5 linked regions of the Callithrix jacchus genome follow. The protein of the gene in region 2 interacts with the protein of the main gene of each other region in a biochemical or structural test. Links are inferred from orthologs where the notes say so. Each region holds a gene or a part of one and is shown on either strand. Other genes may lie near its edges.

Region 1 (2,159 bases), on a different chromosome or scaffold from region 2:
TCTTGTGGCCACATCTCCCCTACCCCAGCAGCCCCTCCCAGAGCCCCAGCCCCAAGACACCCGACACACGGTCTTCAGCGAGTGCTCGGGGCCCCTTCCCTACCTCCCCGGTTCTGACCTGAGGCTTCCGGTCTAATGTCAGTTTCCACCTCCACAGGGACCACCTGCCCCAACTTTCAGCACACAGACAGGTGGGAGAAGTTTCCAGAAGGCAAGCCACTCTGAGGGACCAGGGAGTGAGCGCAGGGTTGTTTCTAAGTCACAGGAGGGCTGCGGATTTATCTAGGCAGGCACTGCCCGTTCCTTCTCCCGGGTCCCTCCTTCTAGGAGATCCCATGGGCTGTGCCTTGAGACACCCTCCAGCCCCAAGCACAGGCCTCACTCAGCCACCAGCCTGTGAGAGAATGGGCTCCAGCCTGTCCACGCAGGCCTCCCTGCCAGCCCCTCCACCCACTGGACACCACTTTCCGGAACAAAAGGAAGTCGCCGGCACAGGCAAGTGTATCTGACAGCAATAGATTTATTAAGTATCCCCAAAAATATAAACGCAAACCAGTAAAAAACAAAACCGTAAAACATCAGGCCAGGAGCTGCATTAAGACAGAGACAGAGCAGCCACAGGTGGCCCGGGTGGGGAGGAGGAGGCCGTAAATACTGCAGGAGGCGGCACGGGAGCCCGAGGGTGGGGGAATAGCAGGGGACGGTGGTGGCAGCAAGATGGCTCTGGGGGTCAGGCACTGCTGGCCTTGGCCCCGGCCGCCACCTGCCCCTCACGCCAGCTGCAGGCAGCTTCACTTCGGGCCCTGGGCCTCCGACTCCTCGTCGTCATCTTCATACATCTCGCCCTCCTCCTCAGCCGTGGCGTCCTGGTACTGCTGGTACTCGGACACCAGGTCGTTCATGTTGCTCTCAGCCTCGGTGAACTCCATCTCGTCCATGCCCTCGCCCGTGTACCAGTGCAGGAAGGCCTTGCGCCGGAACATGGCCGTGAACTGCTCAGAGATGCGCTTGAACAGCTCCTGGATGGCCGTGCTGTTGCCGATGAAGGTGGAGGACATCTTGAGGCCGCGGGGCGGGATGTCGCACACGGCCACCTTCACATTGTTGGGGATCCACTCCACGAAGTAGCTGCTGTTCTTGCTCTGGATGGCCAGCATCTGCTCGTCCACCTCCTTCATGGACATGCGGCCCCGGAACACAGTGGCCACGGTCAGGTAGCGGCCGTGGCGTGGGTCGCAGGCAGCCATCATGTTCTTGGCGTCAAACATCTGCTGGGTGAGCTCGGGCACGGTCAGGGCCCGGTACTGCTGGCTGCCCCGGGCCGTGAGGGGCGCGAAGCCGGGCATGAAGAAGTGCAGGCGGGGGAAGGGCACCATGTTCACCGCCAGCTTGCGCAGGTCGGCGTTGAGCTGCCCTGGGAAGCGCAGCGAGGTGGTCACCCCGCTCATGGTGGCCGACACCAGGTGGTTGAGGTCCCCGTAGGTGGGCGTGGCCAGCTTGAGGGTGCGGAAGCAGATGTCGTAGAGCGCCTCGTTGTCGATGCAGTAGGTCTCATCTGTGTTCTCCACCAGCTGGTGGATGGACAGCGTGGCGTTGTAAGGCTCCACCACCGTGTCGGACACTTTGGGCGAGGGCACCACGCTGAAGGTGTTCATGATGCGGTCGGGGTACTCCTCGCGCACCTTGCTGATGAGCAGCGTGCCCATGCCAGAGCCCGTGCCCCCGCCCAGCGAGTGGGTCAGCTGGAAGCCCTGGAGGCAGTCGCAGTTTTCACACTCCTTCCGCACGACGTCCAGGACCGAATCCACCAGCTCCGCACCCTCCGTGTAGTGGCCCTTGGCCCAGTTGTTGCCGGCCCCACTCTGACCTATGCAGGGAGAAGAGGGGTAGCAGGTGGGGTCGTGGGCTCTGCAGTCCAGACTCCAGCCCCATGCCTGTTCTCTCTTCTGTAGAGTAGGCCCCACTCAGCACCCCCTCACACCCGCTGCGGCTTCCCTGAGCCAGTGGTGCTCGGTGCTCAGGACAAGGGCTCTGGACAAAGACTTGAGAACTTGGGGTCACCCCAGAGCCGTGCTCTCCCTCCTGAGGGGACCCAGAATGAATGGACCAGCCCTCCTGCTCCAACCCACCTTCCTTCTGACTGGCAGTGCCAGGAACCT
Region 2 (3,500 bases):
CCTGGCTATGTCATGTCTCTCTACTTTCAAAAGGGCTTCAGCCAGACACAGTGGCATGAACCTGTAGTCCCAGCTGCTCAGGAGGTTAAGGTGGGAAGATTGCTTGAGCCCAGGAATTTGAGGCCAGTCTGGGCAATATAGTGAGATCCCCATCTCCAAGTAGATAGGTAGATGACAGATAGATAATAGATGGATAGATAAGTCACTAGACAATCCCCATCCTAAATCATACACCCACCCACCCACAAACAGGCCTTTGTCACGTCATGTTTTGTGGCCCGCCTGCCAGCACTGCCCACAGTTGCTGCCACCTCCAAACTCATCAGTCACTGGCAAACAGGAGGAATTTGTGTGGCTTATGTCTGGGCATCAGTGGCTCTGGGAGACATCCTTGATCTTCTCCAGCTTCTCTTTCCACATTTTCCTTTGCAATCTGGCAATATGTCTCAAAATGTGCATGCCTTTTGACCTAACAGCTCTACTTCTAGGACCCACTTACACGTGTGTGACATGTTCATACAGGGTTGTTTATCCCTGTTGTTCATACACACCATTGCCTGTAATCACCAAAGGCAGGAGCAGCCTAAACCTCCAGCCACAGAGTAGATGCCTTTTGGTACATCCACGGGGAGGGAATACTAAGCAGCCTTTGTATGTATGTACTCACACATGTGTTTATAGATGAAATATCTCTGGAGGATCCATAAGGAACTGAAAATGACCACTGTCTCTGGGGAGGGTATCTGGGTGCCTGGGAGGCAGATCAGGGGAGGAGTGGACACAGGTATTACCATTTGGAAGACACTAAAAACAGCTCCTGGCCAGGTGTGGTGGCTCACACCTGTAATGCCAGCACTCTGGGAGGCCGAGTCAAGTGGATTACTTGAGTCCAACAGTTTGAGACCAGCCTAGGCAACATAGTAAAACACCATCTCTATTAAATATACAAAAAATTAGCCAGGTGTGGTGGTGCATGCCTGTAATCCTAGCTACTCGGGAGGCTGAGGTGGGAGAATGACCTGAGCCCAGGAGGTTGAGGCTGCAGTGAGGTGAGATTGTGCCACTATACTCCAGCCTGGGCGACAGAGCAAGACCCTGTCTCAAAAACAAAACCAGTCCTTGGCACTGTGGGCCAGACCTGGCGGGACAGTTGGCAGGGCTTGTCTCCCTTTCTCTGGCACTTTATCTCACCCTCCCTCTTCTCCTTGAAGATTGAAACCCACAAGCTGACCTTCCGTGAGAACGCCAAAGCCAAGACAGACCACGGGGCGGAAATCGTGTACAAGTCTCCGGTGGTGTCTGGGGACACATCTCCACGGCACCTCAGCAACGTCTCCTCCACCGGCAGCATTGACATGGTAGACTCGCCCCAGCTTGCCACGTTAGCCGACGAGGTGTCCGCCTCCCTGGCCAAGCAGGGTTTGTGATCAGGCCTCCGGGGCAGTCAGTAATCGTGGAGAGGAGAGAGAGTGAGAGTGTGTGGAAAAAAAAAGAATAATGACCCGGCCCCCACCCTCTGCCCCCAGCTGCTCCTCGCAGTTCGGTTAATCACTTAACATGCTTTTGTTGCTCGGCTTTGGCTCGGGACTTCAAAATCAGTGATGGGAATAAGAGCAAATTTCATCTTTCCAAATTGATGGGTGGGCTAATATTTTTTAAAAACACTCAAAAACATGGCCACACCCAACATTTCCTAGGGCAATTCCTTTTGATTTTTTCCCTCCCTCTGTGTAGAAGAGGGAGGAGAGGCTCTGAAAGCTGCTTCTGGGGGATTTCAAGGGACTGGGGGTGTCCACCACCTCTGGCCCAATCCAGGGGGTGTCACAGAGGCAGCGGCAGCAACAAAAGATTTGAAACTTGGTGTGTTTGTGGAGCCACAGGCAGATGATGTCAGCCTTGTGTGAGTGTGACGGGGGTGGAGTGGGAGGCCAAGGCAGGGGCTGGGCAGAGGGGAGAGGAAGCCACATGCTGGAGAGGAGATGCTGCCCCACTCCATGCCGATGGGAGGGCCAAGGCCTCCGCTGCCTGCAGCATCTCAGACCAAGTGGTGCCTGTCCTTTGTGGCTGGGGCCTGCTACGGGTCGGTGTGCCACCCTCTGCTGGGCAGCCTGTGGGAGAAGGGACAGCGGGCAAGAGGAGAAGGCAGGCCGGCGGGAGGGTGGTGCCCCATGGATGATTTCCTTGGAGAAGACTGATCTTGACATCTGAGGGCGCTGGCCTCTTCCTCCCTCTCTGCAGGGTGGGGGGCCTGAGCTGAGGGACTTCTCTCTGCTCCACAAAACCCTGTTTTATTGAGTTCTGAAGGTTGGAACTGCAGCCACGATTTTGGCCACCTCACAGACCTGGGACTTTAGGGCTAACCAGTTCTCTTTGTAAGGACTTGTGCCTATTGGGAGACATCCACCTGTTTCCAAGCCTGGGCCACCGGCATCTCTGGAGTGTACAGGGGTCTGGGAAGTGGGTCCTGAGCCTCCTGTCCTTCCCATGGCCACTGCCATCACCCGTCTGCCCCGCCGTGCCACTGTTTGCCATGAGAGCCCATTCACTGCCTGTATCCCACATCACGTCACCATGTCACCACCTACTTATCAGTAATGACCCTGCGGGAGGTTGGCTTCGGGAGGTACCTACTCCATACTGAGGGCAAAATTAAGGGAAGGCAAAATCCAGGCACAAGAGTGGGACCCCAGCCTCTCACTCTCAGTGTCAGTCATCTAACTGGTGTGCCCCTCACCACGAATCTCATGACCTGATTCTGTTCCCTGCCTCGTCCTCCCTTCACAGATGTGAGCCAGGGCACTGCTCAGCTGTGACCCTAGATGTTTCTACCTTGCTGATGTGGAGAGAGCCCTTTGCCCCCAGAAGGCCTGGCCCCTTCCGGTGCTGAGCTGGCAGCAGGAGGCTGGGTGTCCTGGTTGTCAGTCATGGCACTAGGACAGGTGGGCAAGGCACCCAGGGCAGGCCCACAGTCCCGCTGTCTCCCACTTCTACCCCAGCTTGTGGCTGCCAGCCTCCCAGACAGCCCAGCCGCTGCTCAGCTCCACATGCATAGAATCAGCCCTCCACACCCCCGAAAGGGGAACACGCCCCCTCGGAAATGGTTTTCCCCCCAGTCCCAGCTGGAAGCCATGCTGTCTGTTCTGCTGGAGCAGCTAAACATATACATAGATATTGCCCTGCCCTCCCCATCTGTACCCTGTTGCGTTGTAGTTGGATTTGTCTGTTAATGCTTGGATTCACCAGAGTGACTATGATAGTGAAAAAAAAAAAAAAAAGGACGCATGTATCTTGAAATGCTTGTAAAGAGGTTTCTAAGCCACCCTCACAAGGTGTCTCTCACCCCCATGCTGGGACTCAGTTCCAGGCCAGTGTGGCTCCAACCTGCTGGGGCCTCCCAAGTTTTATAAGGCTTTCATCAGCACCTGGGACCCAACAGAGACCAGATTCTAGCATCGAAGGAGGCCCTTCAGCTGTGAGGGCCTGAAGCACAGGATTAGGAC
Region 3 (3,940 bases), on a different chromosome or scaffold from region 2:
TAAACTACCGTGTATAGTGGGAATGGGACTATCGCATACATCCCTCAGATTAAAGTGGGCTCTTTAATCTTCAACAGAAAGGAAAGGAAAGCTATTTTCCTTACCCTGCCCAGCCCCACCCCACCAGGGATGGGCAGACCCTTACTCCCTGAGACACCCAACTACTCCCCAGCCAGCCTCCCTGACCACTGTGGGGGGTGGGGTCTGGATCTTGGCCAGAAGCCAAGCCTGCCCAGTACATCCCCATAGGGCAGCTGGGGTCACCATCTGGGTGGCTGTCACACCCTATGCACAGAGCCCACCCATCAGCCATGTCTTCTCTTGGTCCCCCTGGGCTCTCAGACCCTCCGGGGAGCAGGGAGGGTGCCAGAAGATGGCTGCTTGTCTGACTGAGAGACTGAGGGATCTGGCCAGCTGGAGACAAGTGATGAAGGGTGACCCAGACACTTCCCCCACCCCCAGCAGCAGGGCCTGTAGTGGCCTTTGGATATGAGCCGAGCAAGAGAGAACCCCCTTTATTGTGCACCCCTGGTGCAGGCACTTGACACCCAGGCTTTCCTGGGCCCCTCAAGGCAAGAGGTCACCGCCTTTCCAGGGCAAAGCCACACTCCCAACTCAGCTCTGAGCAGGGTCCCATCTTCCAGGGTTATTGGATCAGCTCCATCCTGGGACAAGGAAAGAGGATGACTAACCCGCAGACCAGAGCACCTCCGATCTCTGGCTGCAGGGCCACACGGTGGGCAGAGGTAGAGAGTGGGCCAGGGTGCTGGGACAGGAGTGTCGGAATCCAAGTCCACATCTACGTGTTCGGCCTGCCTTAGAGTCCTCAAGGCTGAACCAACGCCCACCTCCAGCCTCAGGAACCTGCTATAGCTCCCACGTCCGAGGAAAAAGCCCCTACTGTGCTCACGTGGTTCACTGGAGCCTCTAGTCTGAATCCCAACATCCCTCAAGCATCAGGAACTGGGGGGAGGGAAGGCAGCAGCACACCCGCCCCAGCTCAGGGTTCTTGCCAGACATGGCTGCTGTCCCTTGGGTGCTCACGGATTCACATGCACCACATGTGCCCTGCCATGAACACAGGGAGTGCATGCCCATCCACGCGTGCCCACACCCATGGGTGAACACAAGGCTCCAGGCAGCTTTTCTTATTTGATACGTGATGGTTGTCACTGCCCAGCCTGGTGGCACACTGGCTCTGCCTCTCAAGACCTGTGGGTCTCAGCAGTGACCAGGGCAGTCCCCTACTTCTAGGCTGAGCATCTGTAGTGACTGAGACCTCTCCCTTTCAGTCTCCGGGGTTCCCGGCCCCAGTGCGCCCTCCAGAGCCCTGAGACAGAAGAGATCCCTTGGCTGACACTCCCCATGGGTCGGCCTAGGACAGACAGGGGAACTCCCCAGGGGAAGTCCTTTGGCATCCAGGACCCCACAGTCAGGTCCCAGTGGAGAGTGCAGTGGCCAGGAGGGGGCAGGAGGACCAAGGTAGGCCTAGGGACACTTGTGCCCAGACTCCTACACATGGCAAGCACATGTACAACATGTTTGTGCATGCATACGTGTGTGGATTCTCCTGAAGGCAAGGGGTCCTAGACCAGGAGTCAGTGACCATAGGAGTATGGGAGGCGCCTCTTGAGGAAACCAGATCAACTGTGGAAAGGTGCAGGCCCAGGCCCCTCCACAGGCTGTCAGAGGCTACCGGGCAGCACCTCACTGCTCAATCTCCAGGCTGCCAGGCGGCTTCGGTGGCTCTGGGGGCTTGAAGCTGAGGACTTCCTGGTAGGTGAGCTCTAGGAGGTGAAGGGAAAGGGTAAGCTTGTGCCTCCCACAGCCCAGCCTCCCACCTGCTTATCTGGCACCTGCCACCCGGCCCAGGCCCACCACACTATGACAGCAGCCTCAGCACAGAGTCTGGGAGCCAGAACCTGCCCTGTGCCACCCCGCAGCCTGTGCGGACACCTGCATGCCCTTCTGCCCCTGACCAGTCTGGAGAGGAACTGGAGTTCCTCTGGGAACTTCCTGCCTCTGGGGTAAGGCAGCCCGAAGGCCCCTGGACCCAACCCCAGCCACTGCCATGCCCACCCTTCCACTCCTCCACGGTGCGCTCCTTGGCCTCAACACTCTCGTCGTACGGCTCGGCCTCTGGCTCATCCTCAGGGTCATGGTACTGGCTGAAGTAGGCGTGGGCCAGCGCCTCTGCCGCACTGACCCTCTGGTCACTATCCAGCACCAGCATCCTTCCTAGGAGGTCTATGGCTGCAGGAGAGCCATTGGGGGTGGGGGTCAGCTCTACATCCAGGACCAGATATGGAGCCCAGTCTAGCCCCAGGGCAGTCCTCACCCAGGGGGTTGGCTCCGTGGAAGATGCTGCTCAGGTCCTTCTGGGGCATGGGGGGTAAGGACTGGATGTATGTCCGGGCCTGGGAGCAAACAACACCACCTGGGGAGGCTGCTCACTCTCTGCCTCCCTGGCCCCAAACTGGGGCTTCTCTCAGCAAGCCACTACACTCATTCACTCCAACGGGCCAGGACAAGGGCATAGGCAGACCAGTGAACCCCTCTGCGTAGAGCTGGTGGCTCTAGCTCCTCACTTAGCCCCTGATGCCTGCAGGAGCTGGTCACTCCTTGCCCCCAGCCCACCCCCACTGCCATGGCCAGGCACTGCTTGCTGGGATCATGGCTTAGCACCCACCGTCCCTGGTGTCAGGAATGTCTTTGCTGTTCTCCTGTTCCCCCTGCAGGGATTGGGCACCTGCCCTGGGCTCTATCCCACCACGTCCCATGTTCCCCACATTGTCCCTGCATTTCAATACTACCCTCTCCCCCAGAGAGCCTGGGGGCTCAACCAGCAGAGGGAGCTGCTGGCTGGCGGGCACCTACTCACGTGTTCCGAGGAGATCTTTGCCAGAACCTCCGGGCTGGGTGTGCCCACCACTTCCATGATGCGCTTCAGCTGGTCAATGTCTGCATCACTCAGGAAACACCCAGCGGCCAGCCGCGGACCTCTCCTAGGCCCTCAGACCCAAGATTTGGGGCACTGCCCAGAGCCCGCTCTCCTATAGCTGAGGATGGCCACCCCAAGGTAGCATGGCATGCGGGAGGGCAGAGGAGGCAAGACCCACCAGAAGGGGCCAGCACCAGCCCCTACCCTACAGGAGGGGCCCCGTTTGACCCTGCTCCCCAACCTGAGCCAAGGATACAGTCGCTTCCCGGGAAGAGGGCCTTGCCCTGGAGTAGCTCAGCCATGATGCAGCCCACAGACCAGATGTCCACTGTGTGAGGGCGGGGGGCCTCCGTCAGTGTGCCCACCCCACATCCCTCCTCCAGGAGACCCGAAGTCACATCCAGACCCCAAGACAGGTAGACCCCCTCCTCTGCCACATGCAGCCCTGGGCAGGGGGAGGCGACAGCTGCGGGGCCAGAAGGGTCCAGCACCCATCATGTTCTAGCAGCCTCTGAAGGGCTGCTTTTGAATGTGGGTCTCACATTTTTGGGGACCTTGCCTGCCCACCAAGAGTGAGCATGCAGGGCCAGGGCCTTTGGCCTCCGTCCCGGCCAGGCCTTCCCCCTGCACCTGTCTGGTTGTAATGCATCCAGTTGAGCATGATTTCAGGGGCCCGGTACCAGCGCGTGGCCACGTAGCCCGTCATCTCTTCGTCTGCCTGGCGGGCCAACCCGAAGTCCAGGATCTGGGGCGACCACAAGGTGTTTTCAAGCCCCGAACAGGCTCCGCCGCCACCCTGCCCACCCCTGCCCACAGGCCTCACCCTGAGCTCACAGTCCTCGTTCACAGCCACGTTGCTGGGCTTCAGGTCCTGCAGGTCACTACGAGCGTGAGCGTGAGGGCAGGAGGCCGGGGCAGAGCCCTGCCAGACCCAACCCTCACCCTGCGGCCGCACCTACCCGGTGGATGATCCCGGCCGAGTGGATGTACTGCGGGAGG
Region 4 (3,500 bases), on a different chromosome or scaffold from region 2:
CTTGATTTTTATATGCAGAGAGCAATGAATAGAATTTGAAAATATCATTCTTACAGTGAAAAAATATGTAGTAGTTTAGAATTTTTAAGGAGAATTTATCAAAAATAACCAAAATAAAAAATAATTTGGATTTTTTTTCCCTACTACATGGTTATTCATTCAGTGAAACCAGTACTTACTGAGTTAATGAGAGTAAACAAATAAGCAGTTGTTTATCATGTTCCTGGCACTGATTTTGGTTTGTTTTTATTTTGTTTTTGTACAGTCAATACTTGTTATATGTGGAGACTAGTTTTTGGTTATAGAGAATATTTGAGTTTTAATGGAATTTTATTCTCTCTTAGGTCATGTTTACTGGTGAAAATATTCCTGTTCATCCTCATGTTTATAGCAATGGTCATATCTGTTTATCCATTCTAACAGAAGACTGGTCCCCAGCGCTCTCAGTCCAATCAGTTTGTCTTAGCATTATTAGCATGCTTTCCAGCTGCAAAGAAAAGGTAGGACTTTTCAGAATTATTCCAGAAAATATCTCTTCTCTCACTTTAGGTAGATAAACAATTTTAATATGTAATTATTTTTATTTGGAGAAAGGACTTATACTTTTTTATTTTAAAACTATAGGGAATTTCACGTTTAATAATAAATTGGAAAATTATTTTGATACCTTTCATTCCAAATAGAAGTTTTAAATGTTGAATGGGGTAGAAGCCAGACTTACTGTTTCATATTTTTTTAAACAGGAAATGTGTGCACATGTTCTTAAATAATCTGATTTTATTCCCAAAAGCATGCACAGGGTAAAAGTGTACAAGAAATTCTTTTTGTGGATTTCACAGTGGAAAGCCTCAGAAATATGCATCATAGCTTCCTTCTCCCCTCCGCCAGCTCCCACCCTACCAGCATGTTTCAGGGAATTTTTCAGGAACCAGAGCTTTCCTATCCTAATAATTAGGTTGAAGGAGGAAGACCAATTTACCAGTAGAATTTTCAGGATGTTTCTTCCTGTTCTCCTTTATTAATCCACAGATTCTGTGTCTGTCTAATGGAAGTGGCGGTGGGGGGGGTGAGAAACAGAAAGAAAAAATCACTTACTAAATTTAAAATGTAGGCTGGCTTCCGTGGCTCATGCCTGTAATCCCAGCACTTTGCTGGGAGGCCGAAGCAGGCAGATCACCTGAGGTCAGGAGTTAGAGGCCAGCCTGGCCAACATGGTGAAACCCGTCTCTACTAAAAATACAAAAATTAGCTGGATGTGATGGTGTGCATTTCTAATCCCAGCTGTGTGAGAGACTTGTGGTAGGAGAATCGCTTGAACCCAGGAGGCAGAGGTTTCAGTGAGCCAAGATCGTGCTACTGCACTCCAGCCTGGGTGACAGAGTGAGACTCCATCTCAAAAATAATACAGTAAATTTAAAATACATACATAAATTTAGGATACCCTTATACCCTTTAAAGGTGTCTGAATCCTCTGTGCATTTCTGATCCTCTTATTCCTGCTTGAGGGTTAGTATAGCATAATATTCATGTATTTCTACATTTTAAAATCCCTCTTAAATCCCCATGAGGGTTTCCTTTTGCATTCTGTTTAAAGGAAAAACAAATTTGCCCTCGTAGTTAGGGAGCTATTTGTGTTTTGCAGTTTTCTTCTCTGTTCTCCAAATTGAACTGATTGCCATTTTTATTAAATTAGTATTTGGAGAACGTTTAAGATAATAGTTCATTTTAAAATGATAGGTTATTTAGAACCGGAAGCACTCTAAGCCACAGCATATGAAATAATGGGTTAAATTGCTTTTGTTTTGTTTTTACTCATTTGTTGCTTATTGCTTTTATATTTTCTCCTCTCACCCACCCCAGCACATACAAGTGTTAAACTTTTATGTGTAGGGCAAAGCAGTTTGTGGGTATAAGGCCTTCTATGTTCCTGTTATGCTTTAAGTCTATAGAAAGGTAAGATGGTAACAACAGGATTTAATAAGAAAGTTATGAAGAGGTGAACATCAGCGATATCTGTATATAGTCTTGCATGTGCCTCATGATTATTAGATTTTGTTTACATTTAAATGTATTATTATTAAAAACTAGAGAATGACTATATTCTGTATGTTTTCTTCATCATCATTTAACCTTCACGGTTCCCCTTACATTCTAATTGTCTGCTAATAGTGTTTCTTGCATACTTAATATAAGACTAATCATTCCATTTAAAGCACTAATAAACTGTATTTTTACTGTTACCATTGTATAATATGTTTAACAAGATGATCTGGAAGTCAGGATTTCCATCAAATATGATAAAATTCAAAAAATTTACTAGTATGTGCTACTTTTACTGTGCTAAGTGATAAGTTACAAAGATGAAAAGGAAATTTTCTTTGGCATTGAGAGGATCCAGCTCCAAAGAAACCTTAAAAAGTCTTTTAGGCAAGGTGCAGTGGATCACTTGAGGCCAGGAGTTCGAGACCAGCCTAGGCAAAATGGCTAAACGCCATCAACTAAGAATAGAAAAATTAGCTGGGTGTGGTGGTGCATGCCTGTAGACCCAGCTACTTGGGTGGCTGATGCACGAGAATTGCTTAAACCCAGGAGGTCAGGGTTGCAGTAAGCTGAGATCGCACCACTGCACTTCAGCCTGTGGCAATAGAGCAAGACTCTGCCTCAAACAAAACAAAACAGTATTTTAAATACCCACTTACATGTTTTACTGTTAAAATGGGTAAAGTTTATTCTGTAGTAGACATGGTTCTATGGGCTTTACTTTGATAGTTAATTCTATTACTATTAAAATATTTTACTTTAGGTGTTTGAGACTCTAGTCATAATTCTTTTATTCCAGTTTCCTTTTACACAGTCAGGAGTGGTTCCATGAGCTGAAGGTATTTAAATTCAGTATGTCATTAGATTACAGTGGATTAAAGATAATTTCTGATATTTTGATCATGGGCCTTTCAGTAAATGCCACTTTACTCACATGCCTTTATAATACACTTACATCGTTCACACTTTGCAGTTTGTATCCCATTCCTAAAACAATTTCATAAGCTTTCTTTTGTTTAGTTTCTTTTCTAAGAACAATATCTCCCTGATCACTTAAGAGGGAGATTGGTGATTTAAGCAAATGAGAATGGGTATTTTTTTCTAAATATTTTTTGAAGACTTTTCTGATGATTCTTGGGTTCTAATCAATATATACATAAAATGAATTTGTGAAATTATTTGCTGTAGTAGTACCAATTCCGTATGAACATAGATTTGACTTTGTAGAATCATCCCTTCCTTGAAGTATCTAATTTCATAATATTAATTTTTTAGGAATTTTCTCTAATTGTATCCCCAGATTAACTTGGGATACTTTCATGTCTTGTGCTGTAACATTTTTTTATTGTTGTTAAATTAATATTAACACACAGGGCATTATGAGGTTCAACTAGGATGAAAGTTATGTATATATATGAATTTTAGAAGTGTCAAATTGACTTGCTGTTTTCCGTCCTGCT
Region 5 (3,500 bases), about 51 Mb from region 2:
GGGCTACAGAACCACCATGTGTCAAGAAAACAGGTGGGCACGGGCAGACCCTCCTGGGGCCTGCTCCCAGTAATTGAGGTGTGAGTGCCAGGCTCGTGGGAAGAAACCTGTTAAACCATTTCTGTGTCTGGAGGTGAGACCAGGGCTGTGTGCATGTAAGGGACCACTCTCTTGATGCAGGCCGGACCCCTCATGCCCAATGCAAATAACTACAAAGTCAAAATCTCTGCATCTTTGGTTTCTTTGAGAGAATGTTACCATATAAGAAATCCATTTCTAGTTAAGTTACTAGTGAATTAGAAACGTGCAATAAACTCACTTTTTTTTTTTGAGGCAGAATCTTACTCTGTCGGCCAGGCTGAAGTGCAGTGGCACGATCTCAGCTCACTACAATCTCTGATTCCTGGGTTCAAGTGACTCTCCTGTCTCAGCCTCCCAAGTAAGCAAGGATTACAGGTGCCTGCCACCACACCCAGCTAGTTTTTCAAAAAAATTTTTTTTCCAGTGAAGATGGGGTTTCATCATCTTGGTCAGGCTGGTCTTGAACTCCTGACCTCATGATCCACCTGCCTCGGTCTCCCAAAGTGTTGGAATTACAGGCGTGAGCCACCATGCCCGGCCTAAACTCACTTATTAAAAGATAGCAAGTGGCCAAGAGTGCTCCCCACACCGGCGCTTTCCTGGCTAGCCAGCTACACCAAGCCCTGCTCACGACAGTGGGCCTGGCTCCATCCTGTGACCCCAAGAGACACTGCCCCACAAGCCCACAGCCAGACTCTAGGACGTTTCTGAACTGAGTTCCTGCTCATCCAGAAGACCTGTGGGGAATCTGGGTACCCCGAGGATTCCTGCTAGTGAAACACAGCCATGACAGGGCAACCCTGCCCCTGTTGGTGAACAACCCAGAACACTCTGAAGAAACACAACAGATTCATAGGTAGAAAGCTGTTCTGGTTCGAAGAGCACATTAGTAAACGCAAAAGACAACAAGCCAGAGCGAGGAGAGGAGAAGAGAGGCTGCTGGAGGAGGATGCTGACGAGGCGGCACCTGTGGCCAACCCGGGCTGCCTGCCTTTGCTGCGAAGCAGGGGTGCTTCTTATCTGAAGGAAGACAGACAAGGCCGTCAAAAGAATGGAAGCCTCGCTGCAGGGCACACTAGCAGAGAGGGTCTTATGAGGAGCCTGTGGAGGTCCCTACAGGCCTCCAACCCTGGCCAGTGGCAAGAATGAGGAAGGTTCTTGGGCCAGGGCACTCACCAATGCACCCCGGATGAGGCGTGAGCAGGCGAGTGCTGCTGCCTGCGTGGGGATAGCTGGGGCGGCAGGGCACTCAAATGGCAGGAGAAAACCCCCACGGTCTGCTGGCCTCGGGCACCTGAGACCTGAGACTGGCCATCTGTGACCAGAAGACGAGCCCTGTGATGGCCCGGCCTGTCTCCCAGGCTCTCCCCAGAAGCCTCATCAGCAACCAGGCCACCACGCCTCAGCGAGATTAAAAACTCTCAAAAATGGGGGAAAAAAGGAAGGAAGGAAACACGCCCTTCAGAAATCACAGCCTGCTCTGGACTTGGATGGCACAGTCAAGGCCGGTGCCCACCCAGGAGCTCTGCACCTACCTGTGAGGTGGACATGCGAGAGGTATCTTGTCGGCCCGTGAGGTCGGAAGAGGAGATGTTGACGGGCGCCCCGCGGTGCAGCCGCATACTCACTTTCCGCTCTCTCTCCATGCCAGAGACGGGCCGGGGGGAGGTGTTAGCTGAGAGAGGAAGAGAAATGGAGTGGGCTGCCCCTGGCTGCTGCTTGCCACTCAGGGCTTTCTTCCTGTGAGAGGCTGTGGCCGGAGAGGACCCTGGGCTGCCTGGACAGTCAGGAGCCGGCAGAGCTGATGGCCACCAACACTCAAATCCAGCCGGAGGAACAAAGGAGAAACATGGGATACGGGAGGAATCACACACACCAGCAGGTGCCTGCATTTCTAAAGGCGCCCAGGCAGCCCGGCTCATCCACTCTCAGGAGTAAGCATCACCTGACGTGGGAAATTCACAGTGTCCACCACCAAGTGCATTGCCCCCACCAACCCTGAGACACAGGAAGCCGTCCCAGAGTGCTGGGAGGGGGGCACTCACCTGTGTGTGAGGTAGGGGTAAGGGGTGTGGGGGGAGCCACTTCCTGCGTCCCCCGAAGGCGGCCAGAGGCTGTGGAAGGGAGGCCGCGGGTGGCCGGGTTCCGCGAGTGTCTCAGCCGCTCCTCTCGGTCCCTGCGCTCCCGCTCAGCGTCGTCGGCAGCCCGGCTGGCACCCTGAGGAGGAAGGAGGTGAGGCCGGGATGGAACCGGATTTGGCAGAAAGCAACCCCAGGTTCTGGGCTGCCCCAGCCATGTGAGTAAATACCTACCAAAGGGCACTGGGGCTCAAGACTGGCTGCGAAGCCGCCCGCATACTGCACAACGTTTCTCTCCATGGGATGCCAGTGCCATCCCAGAAAGGGGTCAGAGCCAGGCCTCTAAGCTCCCCCAACAATTGAAAAAACCCCACTCGCCACAGCACTTCCCTGGGGGATCAGAACTTCCTTAAACTTCAAAATGGGCAGCAGCTGGGCTGCCTGCTCCTCTGTGAACATCCTCACTGACACGTGCAGGGAAAGGAGCGGAACAGGAACCACTGGAGGCCAGAGACAGGCCCCAAATGGTGACAGCTGGGGAGGAAAGTGGGGCGGGGATGAGAGCGTTTGGTCAGATAAGGAGTCCACTCAGGGTCCAGACCCTGCGGCCCCCAACAGTCTGCATAGGTGTGGAGGTGAGGCCGGCAGCAGGTCTGTGCTGCACCATCCAGATGCATGGGGGTGGGGAGATCAGCTTTTAAGCCAAGACAGCAGCCTACGAAAGAGTAGATTCTAACTGCCAATGCTGTGCAGCAGGGGCCTGCAAACTACTGCCCCAGACCCAAACCCAGCTACCACCTTTTCCTGCAAATAAAGCTCACTGGACACAGCCACGTCCACTGGACTACACACAGCCCAGCCTGCTCTGAGGGCCAGGGGACTCCAACACAGCAGGAGGGTGGCTCTGACACCTCCCGAGGCAGCACAGCCCTGCCAGAGGACTGACCCGCCCTACAGAGCCCACCCCACCCAGCACCTGGAGGTGCTGAGGCCCGGACCAGGACACCCCCGCCCCGCCTCGACCCTGCACCACCATCGGACATGGCTGCCATTTTTGTATCCTCCCAAGAAGCAGTTCTGCTACTTCATTAGACTGTCACCTGCAAAAGCGCCAACCTTTTCTATTCAAAACTGATAACTAAACAGTTTTTAATGAAAGAACACAACAGTTACAGAGGAGCTTCAATTCTGGCAGTGGCATCTGAATAATTAAGCTCAGACAGTGAACCCAAGGCTGGGCTGCTCCAGGGCATTCTCACACCCACACCCAGAAAGCCACAGGCAAAACCAGCTCATGACAGGGTCAGGCTGGACCAGCTGCACCTCACTAGGCCCCAACCC

Evidence for each region.
Region 1: the proteins of MAPT (region 2) and TUBB3 form a complex in vitro, tested with the Homo sapiens proteins (3 studies listed by BioGRID, with this or other methods). The link is inferred for Callithrix jacchus from reciprocal best matches to the Homo sapiens genes MAPT and TUBB3.
Region 3: of the proteins of MAPT (region 2) and MAPK11, one has a biochemical effect on the other in vitro, tested with the Homo sapiens proteins (2 studies listed by BioGRID). The link is inferred for Callithrix jacchus from reciprocal best matches to the Homo sapiens genes MAPT and MAPK11.
Region 4: the proteins of MAPT (region 2) and UBE2W are reported together in a solved structure, tested with the Homo sapiens proteins (2 studies listed by BioGRID, with this or other methods). The link is inferred for Callithrix jacchus from reciprocal best matches to the Homo sapiens genes MAPT and UBE2W.
Region 5: of the proteins of MAPT (region 2) and CSNK1D, one has a biochemical effect on the other in vitro, tested with the Homo sapiens proteins (4 studies listed by BioGRID). The link is inferred for Callithrix jacchus from reciprocal best matches to the Homo sapiens genes MAPT and CSNK1D.

What each region holds. Positions count from the first base shown.
Region 1 is NC_133521.1:47,572,326-47,574,484, reverse strand, and holds the end of TUBB3 (tubulin beta-3 chain), read right to left. Parts: intron 1,868-2,159; coding exon 792-1,867; 3' UTR 501-791; downstream 1-500. UniProt on the Homo sapiens protein: Tubulin is the major constituent of microtubules, protein filaments consisting of alpha- and beta-tubulin heterodimers. Microtubules grow by the addition of GTP-tubulin dimers to the microtubule end, where a stabilizing cap forms.
Region 2 is NC_133506.1:86,763,000-86,766,499, forward strand, and holds part of MAPT (microtubule-associated protein tau), read left to right. Parts: intron 1-1,211; coding exon 1,212-1,427; 3' UTR 1,428-3,500. UniProt on the Homo sapiens protein: Promotes microtubule assembly and stability, and might be involved in the establishment and maintenance of neuronal polarity.
Region 3 is NC_133502.1:218,842,696-218,846,635, forward strand, and holds the end of MAPK11 (mitogen-activated protein kinase 11), read right to left. Parts: intron 3,931-3,940; coding exon 3,901-3,930; intron 3,813-3,900; coding exon 3,765-3,812; intron 3,687-3,764; coding exon 3,572-3,686; intron 3,270-3,571; coding exon 3,198-3,269; intron 2,962-3,197; coding exon 2,882-2,961; intron 2,418-2,881; coding exon 2,339-2,417; intron 2,254-2,338; coding exon 2,080-2,253; intron 1,788-2,079; coding exon 1,708-1,787; 3' UTR 501-1,707; downstream 1-500. UniProt on the Homo sapiens protein: Serine/threonine kinase which acts as an essential component of the MAP kinase signal transduction pathway.
Region 4 is NC_133517.1:29,502,969-29,506,468, reverse strand, and holds part of UBE2W (ubiquitin-conjugating enzyme E2 W), read left to right. Parts: intron 1-344; coding exon 345-500; intron 501-3,500. UniProt on the Homo sapiens protein: Accepts ubiquitin from the E1 complex and catalyzes its covalent attachment to other proteins.
Region 5 is NC_133506.1:137,884,437-137,887,936, forward strand, and holds part of CSNK1D (casein kinase I), read right to left. Parts: intron 2,299-3,500; coding exon 2,127-2,298; intron 1,757-2,126; coding exon 1,617-1,756; intron 1-1,616. UniProt on the Homo sapiens protein: Essential serine/threonine-protein kinase that regulates diverse cellular growth and survival processes including Wnt signaling, DNA repair and circadian rhythms. It can phosphorylate a large number of proteins.